4 linked regions of the Styela clava genome follow. The protein of the gene in region 1 interacts with the protein of each later gene in a pairwise test. Links are inferred from orthologs where the notes say so. Each region holds a gene or a part of one and is shown on either strand. Other genes may lie near its edges. The genes, in order: E3 ubiquitin-protein ligase NRDP1-like; enolase-phosphatase E1-like; iron-sulfur cluster assembly 2 homolog, mitochondrial-like; homer protein homolog 2-like.

Region 1 (6,853 bases):
GCTGTAACACAACCATTCGTGTTTTTTATACCAAGTTTCTGCGCAGAATGTACGCCGACGCTTTCCTTCGTCATGCGATTGTTCCAGTGAACAATTGGTTGATAAGGCCCAAGACGTTGTACCTCTAATTTTTGTTCCAGCGGCAGCTGCGAAAACGGAGTGCGAAGTAGTGCATCAACCTTATTCATTATGAGGTCTAAGGCTAAGAAATGCGAAGCCGGAAAGAAGTGAGGAGCTCAAAAGGAATGTGGAAAATCGAAAGCAAATGGACTAAAGGTTTCTAACTGATTCAAATAGCGAAACAAGCGACAAAAACGAAGGCGAGGAAACTATCAACTCTTCAAGCAACCAACGAACGAGAAGGAATGCGTGAATATGTCAACACGTTGTTGTAAGAAACGTCGGCATTGTGTCGTCATGATTTCGGGGCTAGCCCCGATGATTTAGTAAAAGAAACAGAAAACAAACGAGACAAACGCGGCGAGTGGAAGATAAAAGAGAGAATACGATATACAATGAGCAACCGGGGCAAAATCGGCGTCGCCCCGTCGACGTTCGGCGAAGGCTTTGCGAGCGAAAAATGAACCATGTCGGGACAATATGGCTAGTGTAGACAGTCTGTGCAACCGATATTGAGGTATTTTTCGAATATTTTTTATTATACCGAAAAAACAACCGGGGCATTGCCCCGGTTGGCCCTATTGACGCGCCGCCACTGCAAATTGGTGTACTGTGCGCATTCACAAATCTTTGCGAATCAAGTGTGCCTTTTGACTAAAGAAAATTTAGCATTGAAATGGTCAATCTCAATATCAACCTAGTATCTGCATATAAAACCAATTATATATTTGGTACCATGAATACCATTTGCAAATTAGCTTGGGTTACACAACTCTCAAATAAAGGGGTAGGCCTACCAATATAGTTTGTCATCTGCTTTCCATTAAAATGAAGGAGTTTATAAATATACTTAAGGAAAATTGATAACGGCACATTATCACTCACTATCAACGAAGTCTGGAAGACTTGTCCGCAAACAGTGAAACACAAGCGAGATGACTTCTGGACTTGACACCAAGCAGTCCTGCCAATAGATGATATCCACATTGCGCGACGTTCCGGATCTTTTGAAAACAGTGGAATATAACTGAAGATCCATTTCGAAAAATACGAAATAACCATTTTCAACAGCCAGACAAAACGGAAACGTATAATCCGACTTGCAACTGACAGGAGCCAAATGGACTTTTTTTTTTTTTGCCGTCCAGTAAACAAAGTCACGTGACCCGTGCAAGTCCTCTATAAACCTGTACTTTATATTCAGATGGGAGTTTGTTAGTCTAAAAGTCATTCGAGGGGGCTTTGCCAGAAAAAGTTTGGAAACACTTGTCCGCAGTTTACATTGATATCGAACAATTCGGGGATTGGGGACTTGCAAATTTCATCCCAAGTTGCAAATTTTACGAGTATTGACACTTACAAATTGATTTACATTTAAAAAAATGTAAAAATTACTTTTGATAAAAAAACAACGTGGCACTTGCAGTTACTAATAGCTAATTTGAGTCTGTGGGTCTATCTCAGTTTTTCTGGGACTAATTTTTTATTTATTTTTCAACTGAACTACTCTCATCGGAAGACATAATGACAATTAGAAAACACTTTATTTACAACTATTTTTTGGAAACAACTGAAAGCTGACAAATAATACGCGAAGCCGCGATAACGAGACATTGTTTACAACCATGTTTGAATCCGGTATCTGTCTGGTGCAACGACTAACATACGGGTCTGGTGAGTGAGTGAAGTCAATTGTTACGTCGTTGTTGACTTTTTGCTAATCAGCATGGTCATTGTTACAAAACCAAAACAAGGAAATCGATGCTTGGTGAAACGTTATCATTCTCTTTAGTGAAACAGCCAAGCTATTTTTCTCGTTGTAACCAAAGTGACGATCGCGATATCAGAAAGATCGCTGGCTTTGATAAATTATGTACATAGTTTTAATATTTCTTTACTAATTAAATACCTAATATCTGACCCCAAAGTTGTTCCGTTTGTAATTAGGTTTGTGCGCCGCTCGGCTGATATACATCTGTAATTTTTCCGCGTTTCTTGTTTTTTTTACATAAATTCCTTAATATCATGGCTCGGCTTACAGGCAAGCTTACGTCTGTACCGGTGTGGGCATGTGTTGTCTAGAACAGAAGTGTGCAACCTTTAATACAGAAGAGCCAGATACTTAACAAAGACTTTCTAGTAGTTGTAGGCAAAAAACATGATTATGTCATTGCTATGGCTCCCTGAACAAATTCAGTGAGAAATTTGCAAGTGGTTTCTTTTCGGAATCCTTTTTTTAAATTTGCTTTGAGGGGCTAGAAGCTAGCAGTTCCAAGTTCGTTTTTCAAGTAGGCTACCGGTATTAGTCCGTCAGAACGGATCAATAGGTGGGTTTCATGACAACCAATTTAGAAAATAACTGTTCACACTAATCTGATGACTAATATCAGAATATGTTGAGTCAAATACTGAAATAGTGCCGTTTTCAAAGCCATGAGTTCTTTAAATGTCAGAAGTGCAGAATGTGGTAAGTTATATTGGTTGGGATGTTTTCAGTAAAAATCGCCAAGATTCATTTGGAAATATTTTCTGACTTTGCTGTCAAATCTGTCTAATTTTAGACTAGATTCAGACAAATTTGACTGAAATGCTGAAACCAAAACTCATTTGAATTTAACTCCTGTTGCCCGTTTTTACTAATTTATTAGAGTGTGCTCTGTACTTTACTTAAATTTCTTGCTTGCTCATCGCTGCATCGGGTGACACATTCGTGAATCTCATTGTTTGCTTCGCGCAAGCTAGCTGTTATTGTCTACCTGTATACAGTACCGGTTAGGGCATTGGCAATGCACAGTTGTACTGTCATAAGCATAGATATTAATATATGAACTTCATAGCATAACAAACCAGAACCAGATTAAACCAAATTAAAAATTCGCTCGATGGGCCGAACACCATTTGAAATTGGCACTTATTCGCAGACTGCATCATTTTTCCTTGTGGCCCGCAGAGTTTGCACACCCCTGGTCCAGTCTGGTGCACATTAGAAGCGCCATAACCTATAATAATTGATGAGCTTATTATCTTCGACGTAGATGCTATTTTGAGTGATCATAGCTACACTTTGATGGGCTATATGACGTGGCGTTTAGTGCAGTAGTGACTTATTTTTTTGGATGACATAGTCAGGTGTTGGTTAGGAATATTATATATGTGAAAATGGTTATGACAAGCCCACTAGAAGTACTTGTGGTATCAAACTACACTAGACCCTTATCTTATGCAAGACTTGTCAGTTATTTAAATTGGTCGATTTGATAATAGGATCGGCTACAAGCCCTAGTCCATTATCCAAGCCCATTATCTAGCATGCATGCATCACAGTACTGTTACTGTGTTATGTCTGTATGTTGTTTACACCAATATCAGAATATGGAGAGGCAGCTGGACATACTGAGGGGATGTTTATGTATCATTATAATGTATGTCCTTAAGTCTGTTGTGAAGTATTTCATACTTGATTCCAAAACCAAATGATTAGACTATTGAAATACTTGCTAAATTAGGTAGCTATATATGATATCGTTAATTTTAATAATTTCTGACAACTGTGGTAAACTAACTAAAACAATCTATCCCAACTCAATATCCATCAGCATATACAACACTTCGGCTGGATTTTTTTAAACACGACCCAATTTTAGTTGGTTAGCGGTTAGCGCATTGTTTCCCAAACTTTTTGAGCTGCGGACCCCTGTTTTAGAATCTAATTTTTGACGGACCCCCCATTCTATGCCGTATCAATTCCTGTGCCTAACCAACGAGGAATGGTAGCGTTTCATATACATCACAATAACACTAACGATAATAAAGTGTTGGATGAGATTGCTTCCGACTGCACAATTTATCAATTGTTTTAGCAATTTATGATAAGCACACGTAAGTCCGACTCGACAGCAAGTCTCTACCTGCATTTTGTCATCGAATTGGTTAAGATGAAAACGCTGCCTCAAACCTGTAGGTTTGTTCTCTAATTGCCCTTTCTGGCAGCAATTTCTTGCGCAACGTTCCAACAAAAATATGCAATGGCTTTAAATCAGTGGTTGAAGATTGATCAGACTCTTAATATAGTCGCGGATCCCCTGTGCAGTCATCATGAACCCCCAGCAGATCCCAGTTTGGGGAACCCTGGGTTAGTGGTTATGATTTATTTTGACCGTCCACTGACATCTCTGGTACAAATCACACTTATAGTGTACAATTTCTTTAAAATTGGTTAGTTTTTTGCAAATTATCTCCCATGGCATTTAATTCAAAAGAATATATAACTCAATTGGTGGGGAAAATAATTCAAGTGCAAGTGCTAACGTTCTGACTTGACTTGATGCTTGGTGAATTGTCAAAAGTCAGCCGAGATGCGCGGTAAGCTCCGAAATCCCCTTTTGAGTTCCACAACATATTTGGCTCGAATTTGTTGGTTGACTACCGAGGTATACATATGTATCCAAATTTTGGATAGATTTGCAATGACTTATAAATAATAAGACAAATAATAAGCCATTGCACAGGGGTATTTTGAGCCACTGGAATGTCTTATTTGACTTCCATTCCACAAATAAGGTTGAAAACCACTGTAGTAAGATGCTGGTATATGTAATGGCGAGCTTAGACCAGATTGTAGTGAGGTTGAAGAGAGTATTCTATGGGAGCTTCTGTGAAACCTCGCTACAACTACCAAAGTGCTCGTCACCTTGTTTTGATGCCGATGCTTAATCCTTTGCATATCCAAAAACACCAATAGTGATAGTGAACCAATAGTGATAGGTCAAACTCCATGTGATCTTTAGTATTATCTATGTGTTCCCTCAGTGATCCCCTTTCTGTTTACATTTTTCTTTTTACCTCTACAGAGCATCAATATAATATAACAATGGACTTATTTTAAACGCCTGCTTTACAAAAGCACTGTCAAAATGGGATTTGATCTGATGAGGTTCAGTGGTAGAGTTGATGAAGAGTTAATGTGTGTGATATGTGGTGGCGTTCTTGAAGATCCTGTGATGGTGGAAGAATGTGAGCATTGTTTCTGCAAATGTTGTATAGAGGCTTGGTTGCAGAGACAACAAACATGTCCTGTAGATCGTAGTCAACTGCAAACCCAACATTTGAAACCTGTTCCAAGGATAATGAGGAATATGTTAGGTCGACTGACTCTGATGTGTGAAAATAGAAAGTATGGTTGTGCCACAATCGTACGTCTTGATCAGTTATTGTCACATCAAACTGAATGTGATTTTAATCCAAAAAAACCTATACAATGTACTCGTGGTTGTGGCGTAGTTGTTCCAAAAGACGAAATGTCTGACCACAATTGTATCAGAGAATTGCGTTGTCTTGTCAACAAACAAAAAATTGAGATCAATGATCTAAATTTGCATAAGGTTGAAGCTAATAAGCAAATATCTGAACTGAAACATGAAGTATCTCTTTTAAAAGAGTACATTAAAGCCTTGAAAATACCAACTAATCCAAGCTTACAAATCATACAGCAACGAATGGAGCAAGATGATGTCATACGGTGGGGCAGTTCACTTACACTTGCGAGGGTCACCCGCTGGGGTGGGGTGATTTCTACTCCAGATGTAGTTTTACAAACAGTTATTAAACGAGCTCTAATTGATACTCAATGCCCATTACACATTGTTAATGATTTGATGGAAAATGCACATGAGAGGAGATGGCCTGTTGGCTTGAGCACTCTAGAAACTAGACAACTCCACCGTCGTCAATACGAGGATTATGTCACAAAAAGAATTCCGGGAAAGCAGGCTATTGTGATTTTGCAATGTGAAAATAATCATATGGGAGACGATATGATTTTACATCCAGGAATTGTTATTATTTTTGCCCATGGTGTTGTGGACGTAACGTAAATATATGTGTTATTATTATTTTTTTCATTGGTCTTGTAGCGTTTTTCGCAATCAATAGTATTTCCAAAACACAGCTTCATTATTATCGGAATGAATTTAGTTCATATTGCTTATTTTCCCAAACGACTCGTAGTTTTTCTGATCACAATAATGTTGTTTTTATCTTGGTTGCAGAGAGTTGCATCTGATCGTTTTGCATCCGTTACGACGCCGTGCCATAGTAATGACGATTAATGTTATTCATTTACTGATTGATTCGTGTTAGCTTTAATGTCTCGCTGACTTTGTTACTTCTAATTTTTGCATCGTTTTAGTCAGTGGTAAGAAAATATATCGATGTTGTTATATTATAGTGTGCGGTTACAAATTATGCAGGGGCGATGTGGACCAAAACAGGTATGTGTGGATGTGGAGTACTATATTTTGAACGGGTGGAGGCTAACTCGCCATGAGGGCTAACTCGCCATGGACCACTCGCCATGCGACGGCGGTTAACGGGTTAGCCTGCAACTGTGCGGAGGCTCTTCTTGTAATGGGAGATGGAAAGGTGGCTGTTTATACTAACAACTTCAATAGTAAAGATAAATATATTAAATTAAATGTGTTTGGTTACAATATCTACTGTGCAAATGGTAACAAAGTGACAAGAAAACGTGCTTATATGTCGGAAGGCACCGTACCGTACGGTACTCGACGCGCAAAGGATGTCTCAACTTATCATTTTCATCTAAGCATGCTAAATATATCATCATATTAATTGATTGTATGAGCACTGAATCAACAACAACGCTAAATATATCAAAAGTTCTATTTTGCTACCGGCAGTCTCATTTTATTCCAACAGCCGTTGATTGCGATCA
Region 2 (7,249 bases), on another chromosome or scaffold:
ATTTTGATCCCTTTCACAGTTGCTTTACTAAAATCATCTTTCGAGAGGAATATGTGAAACACCTCCTAATGTAACAATAATCCTGTGCCTAAGAAAAGAACATGAATAAGTTACCTGAACTAGACTTCTTGCAACAAACACAGATTCATCTGCATTAAAAACCAGCATTTGTTGTCCCATTGCATAATAATATGGACCGAGTTTATGTAGATCTACAACTGATGCATCAGCCTATGTTGTTGAATGTAAAGAGAAATAACCAAACAGGGAATGAACAGAGCCACATGCAAAATATGAGGAGAGAATGCAGCAAAACCAAACATAGCACACACAAGGTTCATAAATTAAATAAAATATTATTTGACAAATTTTTGTGTTTATTAAATGAGGGACCACGACTATGGCTGGAAAAGGCTAATAACAGAGAAGTGAACTATAAAAGAAGTGAAAATTGAGCTTCAATAGTTAGCCCGCTAATCAGCTTGTTACCATACCCATATTCCTATATAAATATTCAATATGAATTGTTGTTTGTACAATATACACATAATACCTTCTGTCTACAAAAATTTCATTAGAATATTAGTTTTCAAAATACCTTCAGAATTTCTCTATAAACTTCTCTGTAAGGTTTTGTTATTTCTACAGATACAAGTTTTCTTTTAGGATTTGCTCCAAGTGATGATGCAAGCCATAATGGCAAATCCATCTTTGTACCTGAAGATTAGCTTTGCATTATCAGAATGTGTGAACCAGGAATTATACTACACGGTTTATATAATAATACATGTAGCTAGTGGATAGCCAGACAAACTCAATGGTATTTTGTTAAATTTAAATAATGCATTTCACAACATTCGAGCTAGCTGGCATACTCGTAAGAGAATGAACCTTCATAAGTGATATGCACCAGTGGAAAAAATAGGTTCAACTTAATCTATTAAAATTGGATTAAATGCGAGAGAAATAGGTCCATCCCGAATGACTAACGTAGATAGAGATTTATGTAACAGCCTGAACAGTGGCTTCTTAAAAAAAAGTGTGATGAAACTTCATAAAAACAGTCCTGTAATTTAAAATTGGAATTATGTAAAATTTGCATACTGCAACAATACATAATATTCAACTGCTGCAATACCTTCGGTTATGTCCTTTTTACCACTTCCTGGATCCAGAAAACCCAAACCAAACACTGGCAAAAGAAAGCTACATGGAACTTTTTCACTTGACATTAAAATATCATCAATACTAAAATAGTTTTGCTTCAAGCTTCCGCTCGGAGGAGCACAATCCATAAGTATAATTAGTAATTATAGGTATATTATCTATAGACAAAAGTTTAATAACATATTATTCGCTCATTGGAAACTTTATCTACTTGGTCCTTTAACCATGCAGTGAATATGATGGCCAGTATAATTCAAATGAATAACCAACTCCTGAACTCTGTTAGAAATTACAGAACATCTGGTTCAGGCTTGTACAGCAGTTGTAAACAAGGATTCATCAATGGCATCAGCCTAACGAGGCACGATTATGTTTCAATATTTATGTACAGATAATTCTGTAATTTAAGTACGTTTAAACTATGCATGTATGTACGGTACTTCCATCGGGTATAATATAGATTTAGTTGGGACTCCTGATTGACTCCGGGCAACCGAAAATATTCCCACATTATTAGTAGTATTTCTGTATTTAATAATTGATGTAATCTGGACTACAATTTGGCAATATTTTGGCATGTTTTTGGCTAATGAAAAGGTTTAGCCTACCTCTTCATGCACTCAACTTTGGTTGGGCAACTTGGCACTTGACTCCAATTATAATCAGCTTAGCGAAATCATTTTTTTGTCCTTATATTAAATACTGTTCACTCTTGTTTGGATATTTTTATAAAATTATAAAAATGGTGTGGCAAACAATCCTTATTATTTTTTACATTTCATCTTTTATTCTAATTTGTTTTTTATGTGTTTATTTATTTTTTTTTGGTTACCATATAATTTATCTAAAGCTTCTTTCTTTTTACTTATCGATCTTAAGATCGGAAAGTATGTTGATGGGTATTTGTCTGATAGACACAAGCGATATCTCACGAAAAAGAGAATGAATCCGCTCCGAATTTTGCATATGCATTCATCATATCTCGGATCAGAAGCCTATAGATTTTGAATGAGTTATGTCGTATAATTAGCGAGTTATTAATTAATTAGTGATGGGACACAAGGTGGCACTATGGAGAAAGAGCGCTGTTTTGGGGGATCGCCTAACTTACTATTGATAAATCATGGGTCTCTGACCGATATTCTCGTTTCTAATTTTATTAATGCCCTATGGTTGTGTGCGTGTGTGAATGATTTTATTTTTTTTTTCTTAGGTGAGTGAACACGTACCACTTCTTTTTGGCAATCCATCTTACAGTCTTATATTCTGTACGTTTTAAAACTTGTCCACGGATTTGTTTACTCTCCTGATTTCTGGATTTCATAATCAGTTTTTAATAATTTGTTTTTATCAAACATCTTATCGCCTTTTTGCTGATTATGGAGTCGTTATATAGACTACTCCCGATCCGATCCTGTTTGTTGAAAACCAGGCCCGGAATCCTGTTTTTCGGAGTCCTGGACCCGAATTCTGTTTGTGCTCAACACCCTCAATGCTCAACCATGGTTAACACTAGTGTGGGTGCAGATTTCAGGAATCGAAGTTGCACCGACCCTTGACCCCTGAAAAAACTTTTAAAATTTTAAACGCTTAGCGCGTATAATAAAAATCACAACAAAATGGTAGCCAAAGTTTGGATAAAATGTGGAGTTGATGGAATTGCAGAGAATTTTTGAGGTTCATGCGTAAAAGTAAAGTGTAACTTAGAAAAAGACAAATCTTGGGTGTATAATGAATCTTGCTATCCACTTGGCTGTTAAACTTGCGAAAAAATGTTGATGGAAGCTGGGAAAAATTTCATGAATGAAAAGCTTTCGGGTCAACTAAGAAGGGGATTCATAAATATGCAATCGCTTCACACGATCATAGTTCAGGTTCAGTGTGGTGCAACATGCTAAGCGTTAGGAATGTTATTCTGCGTGGGTAGGCAGTTCCGAAATCCGTGGGAGATAACCATGTGCGAGAGGATTGCTGGACTCTTCGCCGCCGTAGGGTGGTTCACGTAACTGCGGGTCGGTTACAGCTTCTTCCATCATCAAGTCCAAGCATCTGAAATAACTGGCTAATTACCCGACATACTGTCGCTGCTCTCATCACTGGGCTTATCATTTCCATCATCTAGCAATTGGGGGCCTGCGCAAAGTGGAAAAGAATGTAAGTAGCCGTTCGGGAACTCAGTCCCACAATACTTTCAGGTAATATGCATCTACATCTAACACTCCTTAATAGGATCACTTATTTCTGCCATGTCTTCAGTTTCAACTTATCTGCTAAAAATGATTTCTTATTTGTGCATTATGAAACTGACGCTACCGTCAAATAGGTTCAGTAGGAGAATTTTCACCTTAAATTTATAATACGCCCTCAGGCATAATAGATGTTCATTTGGTTCCCAGGATAGCTTAGTTCGTACCCTTCTCCATTGTCAAGACCGTTTTTAATGCCCAAATCTTTCAGTTACTTTATTTAACAACACTTTTGATGTTTATTACTTATATTCACTATTCATCTTCAAAAAGATACCTATCAATGCACTGTTTATGAATATACACCAAAATCTGCATGCGTATTAACATATTATGTAAATCACAAGTTCTTGTATAAGATTTTATATATATATATTCTTGTATATAGACACACCCTTTTGAATACAACCGTGCCAAATTGAATTGCATGAGCAGCAAATGCCTTTGTGTGAAGTCTGTTTTTGCCTGCTCCAGTTTGTGCAGTAGTAACGATTGTAGAAATACGGGTGCCACGCATGAGGAGAGATGATAATATTAATATTGAGTTATGGTTTTAACTTTCATGAAGTTTGATATCCTCCTAACCAATTAGAATACTGATATACTTTCGTGAATATGAGGAATATTGAACTGGCTGTTGTTTTAGTATTTTTAATTACACATGCCTTTGCTTTGTACTCATTTTGTGTTCTTTTTATCTTGGAATTATGTTTAATTTTGCCACGTAATTTCAACATTGCTATATAATTATTTTTGTTAGTTTTACGAAATAATACGCCATAATATTCTATTCTATGTATATCGGCTGTAGGGATAGGCATTGCTAATTGGAGCTAAGATCTGAAGCCCGACCCAAAATTCGGGCCGGAAATGTCAATCATTACGTTCGAATCGGATCTGGCTTCTCAATCGCTGACTTTTTTTTTAAATGAGGCGTTTTGACCACGAAAGATCATGGTCTGCAAAAAACAGAAGTTACCTCATCAACATGACACATACTGTACAAAACTCTTGCAATGACTATTCAATGAACGCCTAAATTAAATATGAAATTTCAGGCTTGGGTTGCAAATCCAGTTAATTAGACGGGCTCGGGTCGGGTTTAATACCCACGGGCCTGGGTCGGGGCGGAATTTTTGGGCCCGATCTTACTTCTATAGCTAATTACTTAGTCACCGCACAAAGATGGAAAGAAAAGAAATTATGACGTCAGATTCATTTACAGAACTAATTGTGACACCAGGTGATATAAATGCTAACCCCTCCCTCAAAAAAAACATTTGTTTTTTTGTTTTTTTTCAACTTCATTTTGCGAGTTATTCTTGCTTTCCAGGTATTTCTGCATCTTGTTTTTCTGTTTATTTTTTGTGTTGTTCTCTTTTTTGTCAGAATACCGAAATAAAATGATGATGAGCCACCAGACCATAAAATTGTCAGGGTATTCCCCACTTCAGCTACATTGATGGCAATAACAGTTTGGGGAATATTTGAGGGGGCGTCGGTCGGTAGGTATAGGCGTATAGCCATGTGGGGTGAAGTGTTGGGCATTGAGAACTAATGGAATATATGATAAAGAACATTAGGTACAATAAATCAATTAGAATTAACACACATAAGGTTTATAATAATGAATAGTGTTACTTGATGACTGAATGTAACCTACAGTCCTACACTTCAACTGTAACTGGCTGACCGATGTGGTAACGTATGTTGTGCTGATGAAGATAGGATATGATGTACATACCGGTAGTTATCCTGGTTACCCATATAATTGAAAGGAAAGCGTTTTCAAGTCCATTGGCATCTAAGCAGATTGTTGCCATGCCAAAAACTAAATGACTGGAATTTCTAATGTAATTAGAGGTTGAAAATTAATAAAGACAAATTTCTTAGCATAAATATAAATGCTGAAAGGAGCAATCATAACATCGATTTGGCAAAATATAACTGGTTTCAAAACACTGATGATGAAAATACAATGACAAGACGCATCATTTTTAACAGCCACGCTATTTAGACACATTAAGGACGAAATGCTTAGGTTCCTACTGCTCACAGGAACAGTTTAACCAGAGCTATGCAATTATAACATTTAGGACTGTAACACAATTTGAAATGGTTGTTACATTTTCTGCTAAATTTGTTAATTCAATTTTTATCCCTGCTAACATTAATAATCGATTTTGTAGCTTGAAACTGAAATACCACACAATAGTTTGCAGAAATCTCTAACAGTCAAACTTCCTTTTCTTTTGGTTCCATTACAGAATTTTATGCAATAATGAAGTTGAGCACAAAAGGAAAATCATTGCAAGAGTTTGTTGAAACTGATATTAAAGCAATTGTTGTGGACATTGAAGGAACCACTACACCAATAACATTTGTCACTGAAGTCCTGTTCCCATACATCAAAGAAAACATAAAGACATACTTGACCAAAAACTGGAATGAAAAAGAACTCTTAGATGATTATGAAGCTCTAAGAGCTTTGGCAGAGTCTGATAGACAATCGGAAATTGAAGATGTACCTTTAATACCATCACATGATGAAAAAGGTGCTCAAGAATCTGTGGTGAAAAACATTTTGTGGCAAATGTCTAAAGACAGAAAGTCGACAGCCTTGAAACAGTTGCAAGGCCACATGTGGCAGTCTGCTTACGCAGATGGACTTATCAAGGGTGATGTTTATGAGGATGTGCCGAGTACTTTGAAATCCCTAAAGACTGACGGAAAATCGCTTTTTGTTTATTCTTCTGGAAGTATAAAGGCACAAAAACTACTTTTTGGACATAGCAATAGGGGTGACCTTTGCCCACTATTTAGTGGATATTTTGACACAAATGTTGGCGCGAAGAAAGAAGCGTCGAGTTACATTAAGATATCAGATTCAATAGGCGAGAACCCAGAAAATATTATATTCTTGACAGATGTCCTTGCTGAAGCAGAGGCAGCAACAACAGCTGAAATGAATGCTTGTATTGTGCTACGTCCAGGAAACTACCCCATCTTAAAAGATGATCTGGAAAGATTTACAACAATAAAATCGTTCTCTGAACTTGTATTCACAGAGGAAGATATTCCAGAAAAGCGTCAGAAAGTTGACGAGTCCCTCAAGAAATAAAACTACGGTACTTAGTAATCAGTGATTGGTATTCCTAAACCTTGGGAAGCATGTGTCTTTGCATATTCTTGGTAATGTTTTGCTGATCCCAGTATTGGACAGCAAAATACTACTGATTGGCGCATATTCCCTTTTAAGCTAATAATTAGCATGCAGGCATATTTTACATAAATCCCAACTTAAATAACATTTTATTTAGGAAATAATTGGTTTGTGCATTATGTGGTGAAATTCATAAAGTTAAAAAAATATTGAAAAGATCTGTTTATCATTAAATCAACCATCCATTGAAGGAGTCCAAGAAATTATCAAGTTGCTAGTTTGGGCTTAGCAGTTATAATACAAAACATATATCTCTCTCTGGAAATCTCTGATAAAGGAAAGATTTAGCTAGCTTGTGAACCTTTTGTTGCAAAATTCTGCCCAGTGTCGAGTATTGAAATTCTAAGCATAGAGTAATTCCCTTGAAAAAGAAATTTGGAATGTCTTCGGATCCAGGACCCTATGTATGATGTAATAATAATCCAGTAAAATGAACTGATTCCATTTGAAGAATGATGATCTTGCAGTGGTAGTGATTAGACAAGACCCAGCAGGATGGAAATATTTCATTTGCCAGATGGAGCCTTACTTCTTCATCTCAAGGCTGCGAGAATTCAGTACGCACCTTACCAACATTAGGAACATGTCTTTCATCCCATATTGAGATACCATC
Region 3 (6,550 bases), on another chromosome or scaffold:
ATCATCCCGTCATTTTACTGAAATCTAATTTCGCTAGTTTTTACCTTTTATCTGTAGTGTTTTTATTTTAATCATGCATTGCACTCATTGTCATTCTATATTTATTCTTTTCTTACCTGATATTAGAAATGAAGCGTTGATGCTTTGTACAAAATATATAGAACCGTGTACAATTGTTAGAAAGTTTTGTGATGATGGGTAAAATCTGTATATTGCCCTACCCGCAGCTTGATAAATTCATAGGCCTTGCCACCGCCACAAAATGATGCTGTCCAGACTGCATGGGAGTTTTAATCTGCCAAAACATTCCTTGATTAACTATTGTGAGTGTTACCTACACTTGGCCTTATCACCTGTGTATGGACACTAAAGTGGTTGGTTAGCAAATTCGGTACTCCCGAAGTGTACAAAGGGCCACAATTTTATTCCGATTAGAGTTCGAGGACTCCCCCTGCCCATAGGTTTCAGTCCCTTTACACAACTTGATATAAAATAGGCAAACAAAATTATTCTATCGCATTCTATTCCAAAGTTGATATTCAAATGCCCTTTCTTTAATGCACCTTCATGATGGAGGGGCTGAATAACAAATTGGAACAATGGAAACATCATGAATTAAAAAAATTGTAATATTTGAGACTTCCATTCAAAAGTTACAAATTTAAACTGATACACCTAGAGGACATTGGTTTATGCATGCTGTGTCTGATATTCTTTTCTCAACAATATTATAAATAAAGGTGTATATTTTCAAACCTGCCAAATGAAATTGATTCCGAAACTCTTTATAATATATTTCTGTAAATCTTGTAAAAACAAAAATGCAGAAGCTATTAACAAACATTTATGGTATAATAATATATATCCAAGTTCTGAATTTACACCAGTAATTGCTTAAGAGAAAAACGTCTTTATTTAAGAAGTACAATGGAACTGATTTACAAAATTGTGAGAATAGTCATCAAGAAGTGAAATCGTTACGGTGACATTGAACCAAATCATGCAGATTTCGTGTGAATACTTTGATTTGTGTGTATTACCTTTAGTGAACAAAAAATAAATAATACAGCTATGACACATTTTTGTGTGTTATCAGATAATGGTTGGCATAGCGAACAGTTTTTCAAGAAACCCAACAAAGGCAGGTTGAGATTTGGCACTTAAGACCATTTAACCTGAACTTTCTGGGTAGGAAGCTTCTATTGGTCTACTCAACACGAGGGTGCAACTATAAGACTCAAACTTTGAGCCTGTACAAAACGCAATTTTACTCATAATAGGGGAGTCACAGTAAATATGATTTAAAAAAATTATAACATGAATACATTCAATAGTTGTATGAAGCATTAAACAATATAAAATACTATAAATCAACTGAAAATGAAACTCCGCAGGAGCAGCTAGTACCCGACTGTGGGTTATCAATAACTCTGAATGCAGATTTTATAATTTCAGTTTGGTAGTCAATTTTAGATCCCTTAATAAGATCAAGAGAATCAGAGTCTGTTACAACTTCAACTCCATCTCTTGTAAACGTTCTGTCATCTGCTTCTTTCGTTGTATCGAGATCAAATTTATATGAGAATCCAGAGCACCCACCACCTTCCACTGATACTCTGAGAAACTCTCCTTGTTTAGAAAATTTCTTTAGGTGTTCAACACAAGATTCTGTCAGAATAAGGTCAGCATTGTTCAAAGGCTTTGTTTGAGCATTTTGAGACAGACATCGACACACTGTGTGTGATGATGAAATATGAGATATAGATGGCATCAAACGTGTGAAAATTCTCCCAACTGTCGTAACAGTAGACATGGTGCATTTGAGTATATTCGAGACTTTTATAAAGTTGTTTTTATCTTGACTTAACCAAGGTATATCATCAAGTTCACCAGCACTAGAAATGGTAAATTATTTATTTACAGATTTAAAACTATACAAGAATGATAAATAGTCAAGAGTGGTGACAGATAGGTGGTTCCTGTCTTGTAATTTTAATCGCCTCTCAGATATTTGGTTTACACTACTTTTAAAAATACTACATTTGATGCACAAATATACAGAATATATTATAACATCCTAAACACATCTGTTTGTGCTCAATCTTAATACCGTACCGGTACTCTTGCAGCACTGAGTTTTGAATACCATGATACTGCAATAAAAAAAACAGATACTTTATATGTTCAAAATAAACTATCTTAACCTTAACTGATACAACCATTCTTGGCACATTTCCATTTAGTTGTATTATACCCTATGATTTCATGCAAGTCCCTGCGGTCGAATGATTACAAGGGCTACCTCGACTATACAGATCGAAAGTGAGTGTCATGATTGCAGGTGTCCAATCTTAGAGACCCATCGGATATATACGAAAATCTTACCCTATTCACATTCACACAAGAAAAAACAATCGTAAATATGCGTGATTGTTTGTTGTATACAATACTCTCGAAACCTCTGTGAAGTTAGCAGAAAGTCACGAAATTGGAGCTGACAGAATCGCAGAAAATTCCTACACGTAAAATCAAATGTTCCCAATCATTTTGTGCTGGGAAGTGTATATTTTGAGTGATTTACCGATAGCAATTAAGGTAAAACAATTAGTCATCACACTATTCATTTTTTTAATATATATTAACACACTAAAACAACTGTAAATGTCCCAATTTCAAATTCCAAGCTGTATTAAAGGGTTCTTTAAAATTGACTGAATTTCAATATTGACTCGATTTGGGGCAGGTATTTCTCGAAAACTTCCAATAAAGCCAGAAAAAAGACATATTGGGAGAAAAGAAGAAACCTCATAGATTCGAATTCATCATGAGAGAATAGTAGCAGCACGTTTTGAACTGGCCATATATAATACCAAACATAGCGTATTTTTCGTTAATTTTAGGAATAATATATATAAATCATAGTTAAAATTGGTTTTGTATTTCCACTAAATAATCAAACTATTATCTTTTTTAGTTTTTAATACACGATAATAAACGTCTAATACATTTAAATCGGGTATCGGAGAAAATAAAATAGGTAAAAACATTTTACGCCCCTCGTGGATTCTTTGGGAAATTTCGAAATGTTACAGTTTTGAATGGGCGATTTCCCGAAAACCTCCAATAAAGCCAGCATAACGACATATTGGGGGAAAAGAAGAAACCTTATAGATTCGATTTCATGATGACAGAATAGTAGAAGCACGTTTTGAACTGGTCATTTATAATACCAAACATAGTGCATTTTTTGGTAATTTTAGAGAAAATATATATAAATCATAGTTAAAATATATATAAATCATGGTTAAAATTGGTTTTATACTTCCACTAAACTCACTAAATAATTGAACAATTATCTTTTTTTAGATTCTAATACACGATAATAAACGTCTAATATATTTAAATCGGGTATCGGAGAGAATAAAATAGGTAAAAACATTTTACGCCCCCTCGTGGATTCTTTGGGAAATTTCGAAATATTACAGTTTTGGATGGGCAATTTCACGAAAACCGCCAGCATAACGACAAATTGGGGTAAAAGAAGTACTCTCATAGATTCGATTTCATTATGTCAGAATAGTAGCAGCACGTTTTGTACTGGCCATATATAATACCAAACATGACGTATTTTTTTGGTAATTTTAGGAAAAATAAATATAAATGATAGTTGAAATTAGTTTTAAATAGTAGTCATATTGGGGGTGTCAAAATAGGGCTGACGAAATGCGGTCATTGCGTGTCAAATTGGCGGTGACGAAATAGGGTCGTCGAGTCAAGTTAGGGGTGACGAAATACGGTCGAGGCGTGTCAGAATGTAGATGGCAAAATATCACTCAGCGTGTCAAGTTACCGTAAAACAGCGAGCTGGATGAAATCAAGAATCAGAAATTCGCCGAGTATTTATATGTTTATTGTGGCAATTGAGCCTCTGTTAATTACTATCAACCTAAATAAAGATGTGAGAGTATACCGGTAGTGACGCTAGGGAATATAGAATTAAATAGAAATTATTTATGAAATCGGCGATGACAAACCTTCATTTATGAAATGGTGCATGCATCTGGTGTTTTATTGCATGAATGAGGAACCGATCACGGAGCAAAATTTTGGAAAAGAGCACGCCGTATTGTAAAAACAGTCAACGCTCAAAGGAACAATCTCTCGGAACTTCGAGTCCTAGATGTAACATTCAATAAAAATCAAAAACGGAGGCATAGTTCGGAGGCCAACGTTATGAAATACATCTGCATATTTATTATCTTGTTGTACAATGTTGCCTGAAATACGTTTGTGTTCGTCGGGAGCTTCAAAACAAGATATGAAAAACGAATAACAGAATATTTTACAGTTGGTTGAATTTTTTTAAGAAAATTTCCGTGTCCTCAAATAGTGTCAAACAATTTTTTTCCTATTTCTATTATTATATTTTATTTAATTATGCATAAAAATGACATGAAAAAAACATGATTTATGTCATCGTGCAAAGTGATCGTGATTCAATTTAAATTTGACGTACGACTGGGATCACTCTGCATAGGGGGACTAAAATTAACGAAATCTCTCTATGCAGAGGGATCGAGTCGTATGCCAAATTTAAATTAAATCAAAATCAGCTAATTAAATTTAACTAAACATTGTAAATAATTCTTAGTTTGTTTCAAATTTTTTCGATTATTAATTTGACTAACATTTTTAATGTGAAGGTATGTTTGATATATTATGACGTTTTGCTCTTGAAGTCTTGAACATCTCGAAATAGTAAAAGATTTATCATATTTTAAGCGGAAAGTTTATTTGTTTTGTCAAACAGAAAACAATAAAACGACAAAATATAATTGTAAGCAACAAAATCTCGGTATAGACTGTACAGCAACTGGTATCAATACGATCGTGTGGACATCAAGATCAGTTACCAGTACCACTCAATATTTATAACTTGAATAACAAGAGCTTTAGATGTGATAAATTGTAGGTTTGTCCGAGACCATCAATAACTTTTAATGGAAGAATAATTTAGTTGGCAAGCGTTTGGGATGCTATAAGCAATAATTAAATATACCTAGATATAAATTCAGACAAATTACTTGCTTGTTCAATTATGATATTAACGAATTTGACATTTTTGATTGATGACTAAAATAATAAAATAAGGTTTTCATGTGAGTGTATGTCATTGGTTACTTAAAATATGTAAATGGTGAATGACTCGAAGTAACGTCTATATGGGGGCATTAAAACGTCACTGCAATAGTCAAGTTGTTCGAGTGTTAAAGTTCGGAGCAACAAAGTAGGTATAAAAAAAGTAATCATATCAAAATTAAGCTTAAATGTTTTTGTATGAATAAGGTCTACAAGCATCATGTAAAATATCAGTAAAAATACCCATGTTAGAATGTAATTGACACTGGTTTTTCATTCTTTTAGTTAGAAACCGAATTCTAAGAGAATGTCTTTAAGAGATGAAACGCTATTCAGAAGATGTTAAGTAAGTGAAACGCATTCTTTAGTGCAGGGTGGTCCAACCTTTTTGGCCGAAGGGACACATTTAGTTCACGAATGATCGCGCGGGCCACTTGACATGGTGGTTATGTTCTAGTTTTTACTACGCCGACTGCAGATTAATGAAAACCAAACAAAACCCGCAAACCAAAATTATAAGCACAATGAAAATACGAAGATACAGTAAAGTCAAAAGTTTTTACTACGCATATATATTTCAATGTCAAGTATGACACCGCTTTCATCCAATAAGTTTGTCAATATTCGGTGCGATGGACGAGGTAGCAATGCAGAGCGAATTTTTCATTAGCGAAATTAGTGATCTCAGGGGGATTCGACATGGATCATCTGTGAAAAAACTTGCTCGCACAAGTAACTACTGTCGAATATTGAGGTCATGAAAACTGCCTCTTTTAGCTTCGCAGAAAAAAGACAGGGAATCAGATTGAAATACATGGCATACGATAAAAATAAATTCAAACATCTCTCTCCAGCAACTACGCCCACAAAGAGACATAAAAATAGCTTTCGATAGCTGGGCGGTGCTTCTCGCGCGTTTAAACGACGAGGAATAACTTTTTATTAGAGGTTTCAATAATGGCTCAGATTTATGAAAAACATTGGGATTCGAATAATATCGCGCGGGCCACTCGGAAACCTTCAGCGGGTCACATGTGATCACACACGGGTCACACAGGCCATGGGTTGGTCGACCCTGCCTTAGTGCCACCCTTAGTCCCACCCATACCCATTCGTATATATTCCATCTGATGCATCTAAGAATGTACAAAGTCGAAATGAGCAAAAGGTTTTGAAAGAAATGAGTCCAATCCGAAAATTGCACTCGAAATGTTACGGAGAATCTTTTAAATGTTTATGTAAATATGAAATGATAATTATACGGCTATGTGCTATTCGGTGGAACCTTTTAAATTAGTTTGTTGAATTCTAGATTCGCTGGATATCATTGGATGCCACATTTGAAATATACAGGGTGGTCGCTAGAAAAGCAGAAATTTGCAAGCTCGAATGAGATCAAGGATAAAATGCA
Region 4 (7,983 bases), on another chromosome or scaffold:
CCAGATATGCATATGCTAAGTTTAAAAAAATCTCATTTCATCACATTTTATAATAAATTGGTGTTTAAAGTTTAAAAATACCATTTTTCAATGAGATATTCCTAAAACTGGCAAAGTTTTGGCATACACCATTTAAATTTAAATTAAAATATTTCATTCAATAAGAATATTACAGTAACGGAACAGTACTTTACAGAAAGGCATCATATGCATTTTTTTTTCCAAATGAAATTCTTTGGCGTGCATGTTCATCCAATCGAAAATAGTTTTTTTGTACAAAAATAGCCAATTAAAGAGTACGAATTAAAATAGGCGAAACAAAATTAAGGACAAACTTAAAATTGTGAAGTTGATTTTGTTTATTTCCACAGTCAGATCATCTTGCGGAACGGATAAGTTGATGTTCCTAATCAGCACTTATTGTCCCAAGTATATGGATCAAATAACATAAAAACAGATGTATGAAGATTATCTTTATTAAGCTTCAACATTTCTTGTCTTGTGCAATATGCTATATATTTTGTTGAAGTGGCTTAATCTTTTAATAATATAAGGACGGTGACAAGACTAAGGTATAACATGATGATATCTAATGGATGAGTCGGGCATGTGGCGGAATCAGCATAGTATTATTCATTAATTATTCAATACATCTTCAGATAGTCGTGTGAACCTGTTTACAGCGGAATTAAAGTCGATTGTGAATTCAAGACAAGGTGCATACTTCTCTTTAAAAAATCAACACAATGTTAAATACATAAAATGAAAAATGGTTTGTTTGCTTTACCACAGACTTCTGACATTCTAATAATTTATTATCTCAAAATAAATACAAGCACTTAACCCAACTGTTCAGTCCAAATATTTTAAAGCAATTTGAATCTTTTCTCAAGTTTGTGTTATCACGAAACGGAGGGATGTAATTAACACTAGCATGGATGACCAAAATTCTTTCACTATTCTGAACACATTCTAAAGAAATATTTTTGAATGTGGTTATTGAATGTCATCATGCGTCCATTTATCAATGTGTTTGAATTTTTTAATAGAGGATAGTTGATATAAACAGTGATTTGATTTGTCTATTTATTCATAGCTTTCAGAAATTGAAGATTTCAATTGCTCAAAATTATAATTTATTGAATAAAAACATTTTTCTAAATATTGAATAAAATAATTACCGTATTTACTCGAAATTACGCCTATATCGAGAATAGGCCGACTCCCTAAAAACGGCCTTAAAACAGCGATTTTTTATAAAATCGCACATAAGCCGGTCCTACGAATCGTGACACGCCGAACACCTCAAGAAAAACGTAGAAAGAGAACAAAATTACTGTAACGCAAATATTTCTCACGTTTATCATTTCTGCGTGTTAGGGAGGGCCGTAGGTGGATTATTACCCGTAATTTATGTTAAACAAAGTCTTTATTGCTTTTCGGTGCGTCGTGATTGTGTCGGGAGTTTAAAATAGAGTTCCTGAATCAGCATAAAACAATTTCCTTTGATCGCCACAACGGCGATTAATTTCGTTCCTTGTCTGTTTCAAGGAAAGAAATAACGCTGTATTAACACATTCTTATAGATCGCTACGAATCTTAACACGCCAGACGCCTTTTGAAAGGCGCAGAAAGAAAACAAAATTGCTGTAACACAAATATTTCTCAAGTTTATCATTTCTGTTTGTTAGCGACGGCCGTAGATTCTTATTCGTAACTCTCACTTGTAAATTCATGTTAATAAAGTCCATATTGCTTTTCATGCGTCATGATTTGTATTAATGGAAGGGATTGTTGTCGGGAGTTTAAGAAAGTCCCTGAGTCAGCATAAAACAATTTCCTTTGATCGTCCACAACGCGGTTAATTTCGATAAGAGTCCTTATCACCGCCCCTTAACGAATAAAATATCGTAAAGTTATTCGGTCCCTTAGTTTGGCACCTTTTTTTTTTGAGTTTTAAACTCGGCCTATTTGCGATCATATATACGGTAATTACGAATCTATTATCCCTGATCACTGATGAATAGTTAGTGGCCTCGAAAATACATCCTGAATTAACAGGAGTTTAATGAAAACTATTTAGTTTAGGGTATCAATAGTATTTGTGTCAATGTTGATGGAATAAGCAAGTTTAAAATCAGTCAATAAGGAGATGGAATGGGTATAGATGGCTCATTCAATTGTTTTCCATGTAGGCCTACAGTATTTATATTTACTGGATATGGAATGTAGATTGTATGAAAACAACCCACCTTGGGTCCTTCAACTCCAATAATTCTGTATGTATTGCGAGCTGAATCGAAGAAGAAGTTGACTGGAATCGCATTCTTGCTTGCTGGAACCCAGGACTTCTTCGTCACTGGGTCAATCATGAAGACGTGAGCCTTTGTGGTATAGATTGGTACTTCCCTGAACACAAAGTTAGATATGATGAAAGGAAAACCGTGTGGACATTTATTGAACATGACTGCTTCAAATGTGGATTTTTTTTTTAACTTTTGAATTTTGATGCACTATAATATGCACCAAATTTATTGTAAAATCAAATTTCGATCATCCAAGTCTGGAAAATGAAAAGGCCTACTTTTAATATGAATATCACTGCATAACCATTTGACAGTTGAGTTGACAAATTGGGAATTTTTTTCAAACTTAAAAAATGTATTATAATATCCACCTAATTAATTGTAAAATCATTAATAAATTGCAATCTCACGGACAAATTTTGAATAAACAAATTCTTGAAAATGAATGAACTTTTTATTTGAATATCACTGCATAACTATTTGACAGTCATTAATTTTCTCATTCTGACATTCATGCCATGATAAAATTCTTACATTACACAAATTCCACCTACCCCATTGGAGTATCTTGGATTTGTTGTGGTATTCACCCAGCAAATTCAAATTCATCAATTTCTTTCATTATCAATTCACAGAATGATCAAAAATAGCACAACACGAAAGCCATCAGTCATAAAACCTACCATACAAGAAATAACACTACATAAAAACTGTGAAAATAACAAAAAACTCATAGGAATTACAAAAAAACTATTTCAATAATTTTTCATGATATACATTACAACATTATTACCAGATTAAATGAAGAGTAAATCTTTTACCAATACTCAGTAACTGAACATGATCCAACCAAATTTTAAATCATGACAAATATGAAACAAGGACTACCAATCAGCCACTATCGAAGAGGTACATATTTACATAATAAACATAATTATTTGGTATACTTTGGCATGATTCTCTGCAAATAGTTGTGGCCTCTATCTCAATAAATCATAATACAACAATAATATTGAATATTGAACTGTTTTATTTGAATTATAATATAAACACATTAATTATTAATAAGTTACCGGTAATTAATGTTGTATTCATATTGGGCGCATGTTCACTAAAAACGCCGTAAGTTTTCTATTTGGCGCGTCACAACCCCTTTTGCATATGTTATTCCTAACCACTGGCGTATTCGTATTCCTAGAAATAACATATGCAAAAATGGTTGCGCCACACCAACTAGAAGTACTTACATGATCATCGTGTTGTGAACATGGCCCCCATATTGAGATAACAGCGGTTAAAGCGCAGTAATCTTAATTTTAAAGTTTATTTCAATATTCAATACTTATTTCAATACTCCTTACTTTAATCAGGAACAATAGATAAATGTATATCTAGAATAATTTTTTATACACAATAATTTTAGACATAATATGCTGCATAGACTTTGATTATAAATGGTGAATTAGGCACGAAGTGAACAAAAAATGTATTTGAGGATTGGCTCTAGATAGATGCTAAAGATTTTTACCAAGACAAGTTAAATATATATTACCGCCACCGGTATTGCACTGATTTTGATATAACAAAGTATACAATTTTCACACTAACCACCGACAAATTGTAGCAATCATGTTCGTTCAAATTAAAAACTACTAAATGCTAAATTAATTTGCGGTTTCATTTGATAAATCACAATCTGATAACAGTATGCATATTATTGGGATCCGAAATAGCTTGATTATTTGCCTGCTGTAGGCGTGTTGCTCTTTCCTGTTCAAATATACTAAGACAGAAGAATATAACTTCTTTTGTGTCTTCTGGCAAAACAATGCCATCGTACCAACACTGAGACGCACCATAGAATGCTGTAGATTTATGCTTCAATGTTTCATACTCTGAGTACGAAATGTCAGAGTTACTGTTCCACAAAAATTCAGCACCCAATCTAACATTTGGCCACACAAAATGGAATCTTGCACCCATAGATAAAGAACACATCGGATGCATGTGAGGTGAGCCTACCAATCCTCCAACACTGATCACTATTTTTGGACAAGGACAAGTGGCAATACTTTGCATGAAGGAGGCCCTTGATTTGATAACAGAATTGCTGGTATCATTCACAGACAATGTTTCGTCATCACACAAATTTTGAAGAAATAAAACAGGAATTTGTCGAGCTCCACACAATTGCACAAAATTGGAGCCCTTTTTAGCAGCTTTGTCTGTTATGTAGCCATTATTCGCGATAACTCCAACTAAGATACCACTGACGAACATAAAACCAGTGACAAGTGAAGTACCATATTGTTCTTTGTATTCGTGAAATCCATCGTTATCTGCCAAACACTTAATGATCTCATGAGCATCAACACTATATTCTTTATTACCAGCAGCAAGTTTACATATTTCGGTTTTATCTTTTTCATAATAGAAATTCTCTCCCTTCACTTTTGTCAAATTACTTGTTGCTACGATATCCCGAACCCTTTTCAAACCTTCAATTTCGGTTTTGACAAAGTGGTCAGTGCAACCACTCAATCGAGAATGTAAATCTGCACCCCCCAATTCGTTTGGTGTCACTTTTTCACCAGTAGCTGCTTGTACCAACGGTGGACCGCCAAGAAATATAGTACCAATTTGATCAGCTATCACAGCTTCTTGAGCCATTGTTGGAATATAGGCGGCCCCAGCAGTACACGACCCACACACAAATGCGATCTGAGGTATGCCTTGTGAGGACATAACAGCTTGATTGTGAAATATTCTACCACCAGGATTAAAAATTTCAGATTGTAATGGTAGAAATGCACCTCCACTGTCCACAAGATAAATAGAAGCCAAATGATTTTCTTCAGCAATTTGATGGCATCTCAACTGCTTTTTGAGAGTTATAGGATAAATTGAACCACCTTTTACAGTTGCATCATTAGCAACAACCATGCACCATGTGTTGTGAATTTTACCAATAACAGTTACTACTCCAGCGCAAGCAATATTTCCATATTCCATATCATATCCAGCCAGTGTACCAATTTCTAGTACAGGTGAATTTGTATCCAAAATTTTCTTCAGTCTTTCACGAACAAGAATTTTTTTATTTCTTTCTACGTGCCGCTTTATTGCCTTTTCACCACCTCCTTGATAAGCAGTAGCCACAAGACTGTTATATTTGCCCCTCAATTTGTCAATATTTTTCAAATTGAAACTGTACATGTGCTTCATCATGCTACTATCAAAAGACTTTATTTTTGGAAGGGATTCTGAAATAGATTCTGACGAGTATTGGATTCTCAAACCATTTTGACTAATTGAATAAGAGTTTGAAGCAAGTTGTTTTCCAAACAAAGAACTGGAAAGGCTTCCTCGACAGATAAACAATGACTTATATATAGTCATCATTATTGATGCTGCTGATGGTGATTAAACAATAAAATTTATCTATAAAAAAAAAGGTCAAAAAGTGAAAATAGAGTAAAAATTCCATTCGCGTTGTTTTATTGGTAGAGCCTTTATTTTTGTAGTAAGTGAAATTAGCAATATTCTGAGAGAACAAAGTGCTTGTCAGCTTGTAAATATTGAAAAACTAGTCTATCGTACATCAATACTGTTTATTCCCGATTTCAGAGATCCTTCGTCTAAAAAACATGCATGAAAACAGTAAAAAATACAAAAACTGAATAGTGATAAACTCAAAATAAACTGAGATTCAAGATGTTAGCAAGCAAAAATGAACAGAGAAGAGTACTGAAGTACGAATGATACTTTTAGTTAGGTTATATATTCTTTTCGTATTTAGACCCATGGAACTGATACAACACAAAAACATTACCTGGATACTGGAACACAGGGCAATAAATAAAACTACAACAAACAAATTTCAGAGAAATCAAGATCCTGAGAGTAGAGTCTAGCCGAAGCGACAAAAAATTGATGTCAAAACTGCCTGGATAACGCCTAACAAAAATGTGATGTGAAATTTTCATTTTTTCGACGAAATTATTAAAAATTAAGGATGTATAAAAATTGTCACATTACATTTTTGTTTGACATTATTTAAGCAGTTATAGCATTTATTTTCACATCACATTTTTATTTGGCTTCATTCAGCAGTTAGGATTTTTCAGTTTTTACTTCAATAGAACCAAAACTGCCAGGTTGTACAGTCAGGATAGTATTTACATATTTATCTATAGGGAGAGGAAAGCCGATAAGACAGCTTGACCATATGGCGAACCACGGCCTCTCGTCCGGTTATCATCCCATTTTGGGTATGGGACTAGTCAGTTATTTGTTTTCCGGAAGCATGGATTTGATGGTGGAGGAAGCTGAACCGACCAGCGGTTACGTGAACCACCCTACGGCGGCGAAGAGTCCAGCAATCCTCTCACACATAACCAATCCCCGCTTGGGATTCGGTAAAATTAACCAATACCTTTAAATCAATCAATGACATGGAACACTGCAAGAGAGAAAGATTTATTTCGTCTATCAGAAAAAAACAGTCACACCAATAAAAAATAAGGCTAAAAAATACACTTTTCTCAGTATAGACTGGCAGACTGGAGGGTTTCGTACCTAACATACTTCTAGTAGGCGTAGCATAACAATCTTTTGACATGACAATCCTAACCCTCACCTGACTACGCCATCCAAAAATTACAACACTACGACGACACAATCACGTCATAGAGCTTGCCAAATACTCGTACGATCGCCCGAAATGACATCGGCGCCGACGATAAAGAACTGACTAACGTCAGCGATGTCTCTCCTATAGGGATCGTTGCGACGAGAGAAATGGCTGTTCGGGTTCTCGTCTGGGGTTCTAGTATAGTACCACAAGTACTTCCAGTGGGCGTAGCATAACGAATTTTGCATATGTTATTCCGAACGCCCACCTGACTATGTCATCCAAAAATTACGTCACTATGACGTCACCATCACGTCATAGGGATTACCAAAGTATAATTACAATCGCCCGAAATGACATCTGAGCCGCCGATAACGAACTTGCTAAAGCCGGCGATCTCTCTCCTATCGTGATCGTTGTGACGAGAAAACGAGAGAAATTGCCTGCTCGATTTCGGGTGATCGACTGCGTGTTTTGGACGACCATCCGCATACTTCGGTGGGCCTTATTACGCCACTGCAGCACTGTGACGTCGAAATGAGGTTATTTTTCGGTGACGTAGTCAGGTGGGGGTTAGGATTGACATATGCAAAAATTGTTGAGCCAGGTAAACTAGAAGTACATGTGGTACTAAACTATACCAGACCCCTCGTCTGCACATCTTGGATGACAGTTCGCATAGTTTGAAGGGCTCTATTACTGTATTACGTCACTGTGACGTCGTAGTGACGTAATTTTTGGATGGTGAGGTCAGGTGGGGGTTAGAACTGACACGTGAAAAAATCTACGCTATTTCTACGCCTACTAGAAGTAAGTTAGGTACGAAACTACACGAGACCCAATATGGCTATCTAATACTGTCTGACTGTATTCCAGTATTAGAAGTAGTTAAAGTTCTTGAAACAAAATTTGAAAACAAACAAACAAATCTGTATCAGACAACACTACTTACCGGTACCGTACGAGAGGCGGACGACTCATCTACTAAATAAACTTCTGACCTTATTGAATCTCAAATCACCATGCAATGCCTTTTGAGCGGTC

The links.
Region 2: the proteins of E3 ubiquitin-protein ligase NRDP1-like (region 1) and enolase-phosphatase E1-like interact in binary tests that used the Homo sapiens proteins (3 or more experiments, as listed by UniProt). The link is inferred for Styela clava from reciprocal best matches to the Homo sapiens genes RNF41 and ENOPH1.
Region 3: the proteins of E3 ubiquitin-protein ligase NRDP1-like (region 1) and iron-sulfur cluster assembly 2 homolog, mitochondrial-like interact in binary tests that used the Homo sapiens proteins (3 or more experiments, as listed by UniProt). The link is inferred for Styela clava from reciprocal best matches to the Homo sapiens genes RNF41 and ISCA2.
Region 4: the proteins of E3 ubiquitin-protein ligase NRDP1-like (region 1) and homer protein homolog 2-like interact in binary tests that used the Homo sapiens proteins (3 or more experiments, as listed by UniProt). The link is inferred for Styela clava from reciprocal best matches to the Homo sapiens genes RNF41 and HOMER2.

The regions. Positions count from the first base shown.
Region 1 is NC_135254.1:24,427,179-24,434,031, reverse strand, and holds E3 ubiquitin-protein ligase NRDP1-like, read left to right. Parts: upstream 1-4,952; 5' UTR 4,953-5,033; coding exon 5,034-5,993; 3' UTR 5,994-6,343; downstream 6,344-6,853. UniProt on the Homo sapiens protein: Acts as E3 ubiquitin-protein ligase and regulates the degradation of target proteins. Polyubiquitinates MYD88. Negatively regulates MYD88-dependent production of pro-inflammatory cytokines.
Region 2 is NC_135260.1:20,664,000-20,671,248, forward strand, and holds enolase-phosphatase E1-like, read left to right. Parts: upstream 1-4,426; 5' UTR 4,427-4,598; coding exon 4,599-4,656; intron 4,657-4,906; exon of another isoform or gene 4,907-4,996; intron 4,997-5,680; coding exon 5,681-6,534; 3' UTR 6,535-6,740; downstream 6,741-7,249. Other genes in the region: DNA replication complex GINS protein PSF3-like, read right to left, coding at 115-231, 599-717, 1,139-1,295; copper chaperone for superoxide dismutase-like, read right to left, coding at 7,175-7,249. UniProt on the Homo sapiens protein: Bifunctional enzyme that catalyzes the enolization of 2,3-diketo-5-methylthiopentyl-1-phosphate (DK-MTP-1-P) into the intermediate 2-hydroxy-3-keto-5-methylthiopentenyl-1-phosphate (HK-MTPenyl-1-P), which is then dephosphorylated to form the acireductone 1,2-dihydroxy-3-keto-5-methylthiopentene (DHK-MTPene).
Region 3 is NC_135257.1:17,407,290-17,413,839, reverse strand, and holds iron-sulfur cluster assembly 2 homolog, mitochondrial-like, read right to left. Parts: upstream 1,921-6,550; 5' UTR 1,814-1,920; coding exon 1,364-1,813; 3' UTR 503-1,363; downstream 1-502. UniProt on the Homo sapiens protein: Involved in the maturation of mitochondrial 4Fe-4S proteins functioning late in the iron-sulfur cluster assembly pathway. May be involved in the binding of an intermediate of Fe/S cluster assembly.
Region 4 is NC_135252.1:13,246,973-13,254,955, reverse strand, and holds the start of homer protein homolog 2-like, read right to left. Parts: upstream 3,018-7,983; 5' UTR 2,866-3,017; coding exon 2,861-2,865; intron 2,410-2,860; coding exon 2,253-2,409; intron 1-2,252. UniProt on the Homo sapiens protein: Postsynaptic density scaffolding protein. Binds and cross-links cytoplasmic regions of GRM1, GRM5, ITPR1, DNM3, RYR1, RYR2, SHANK1 and SHANK3.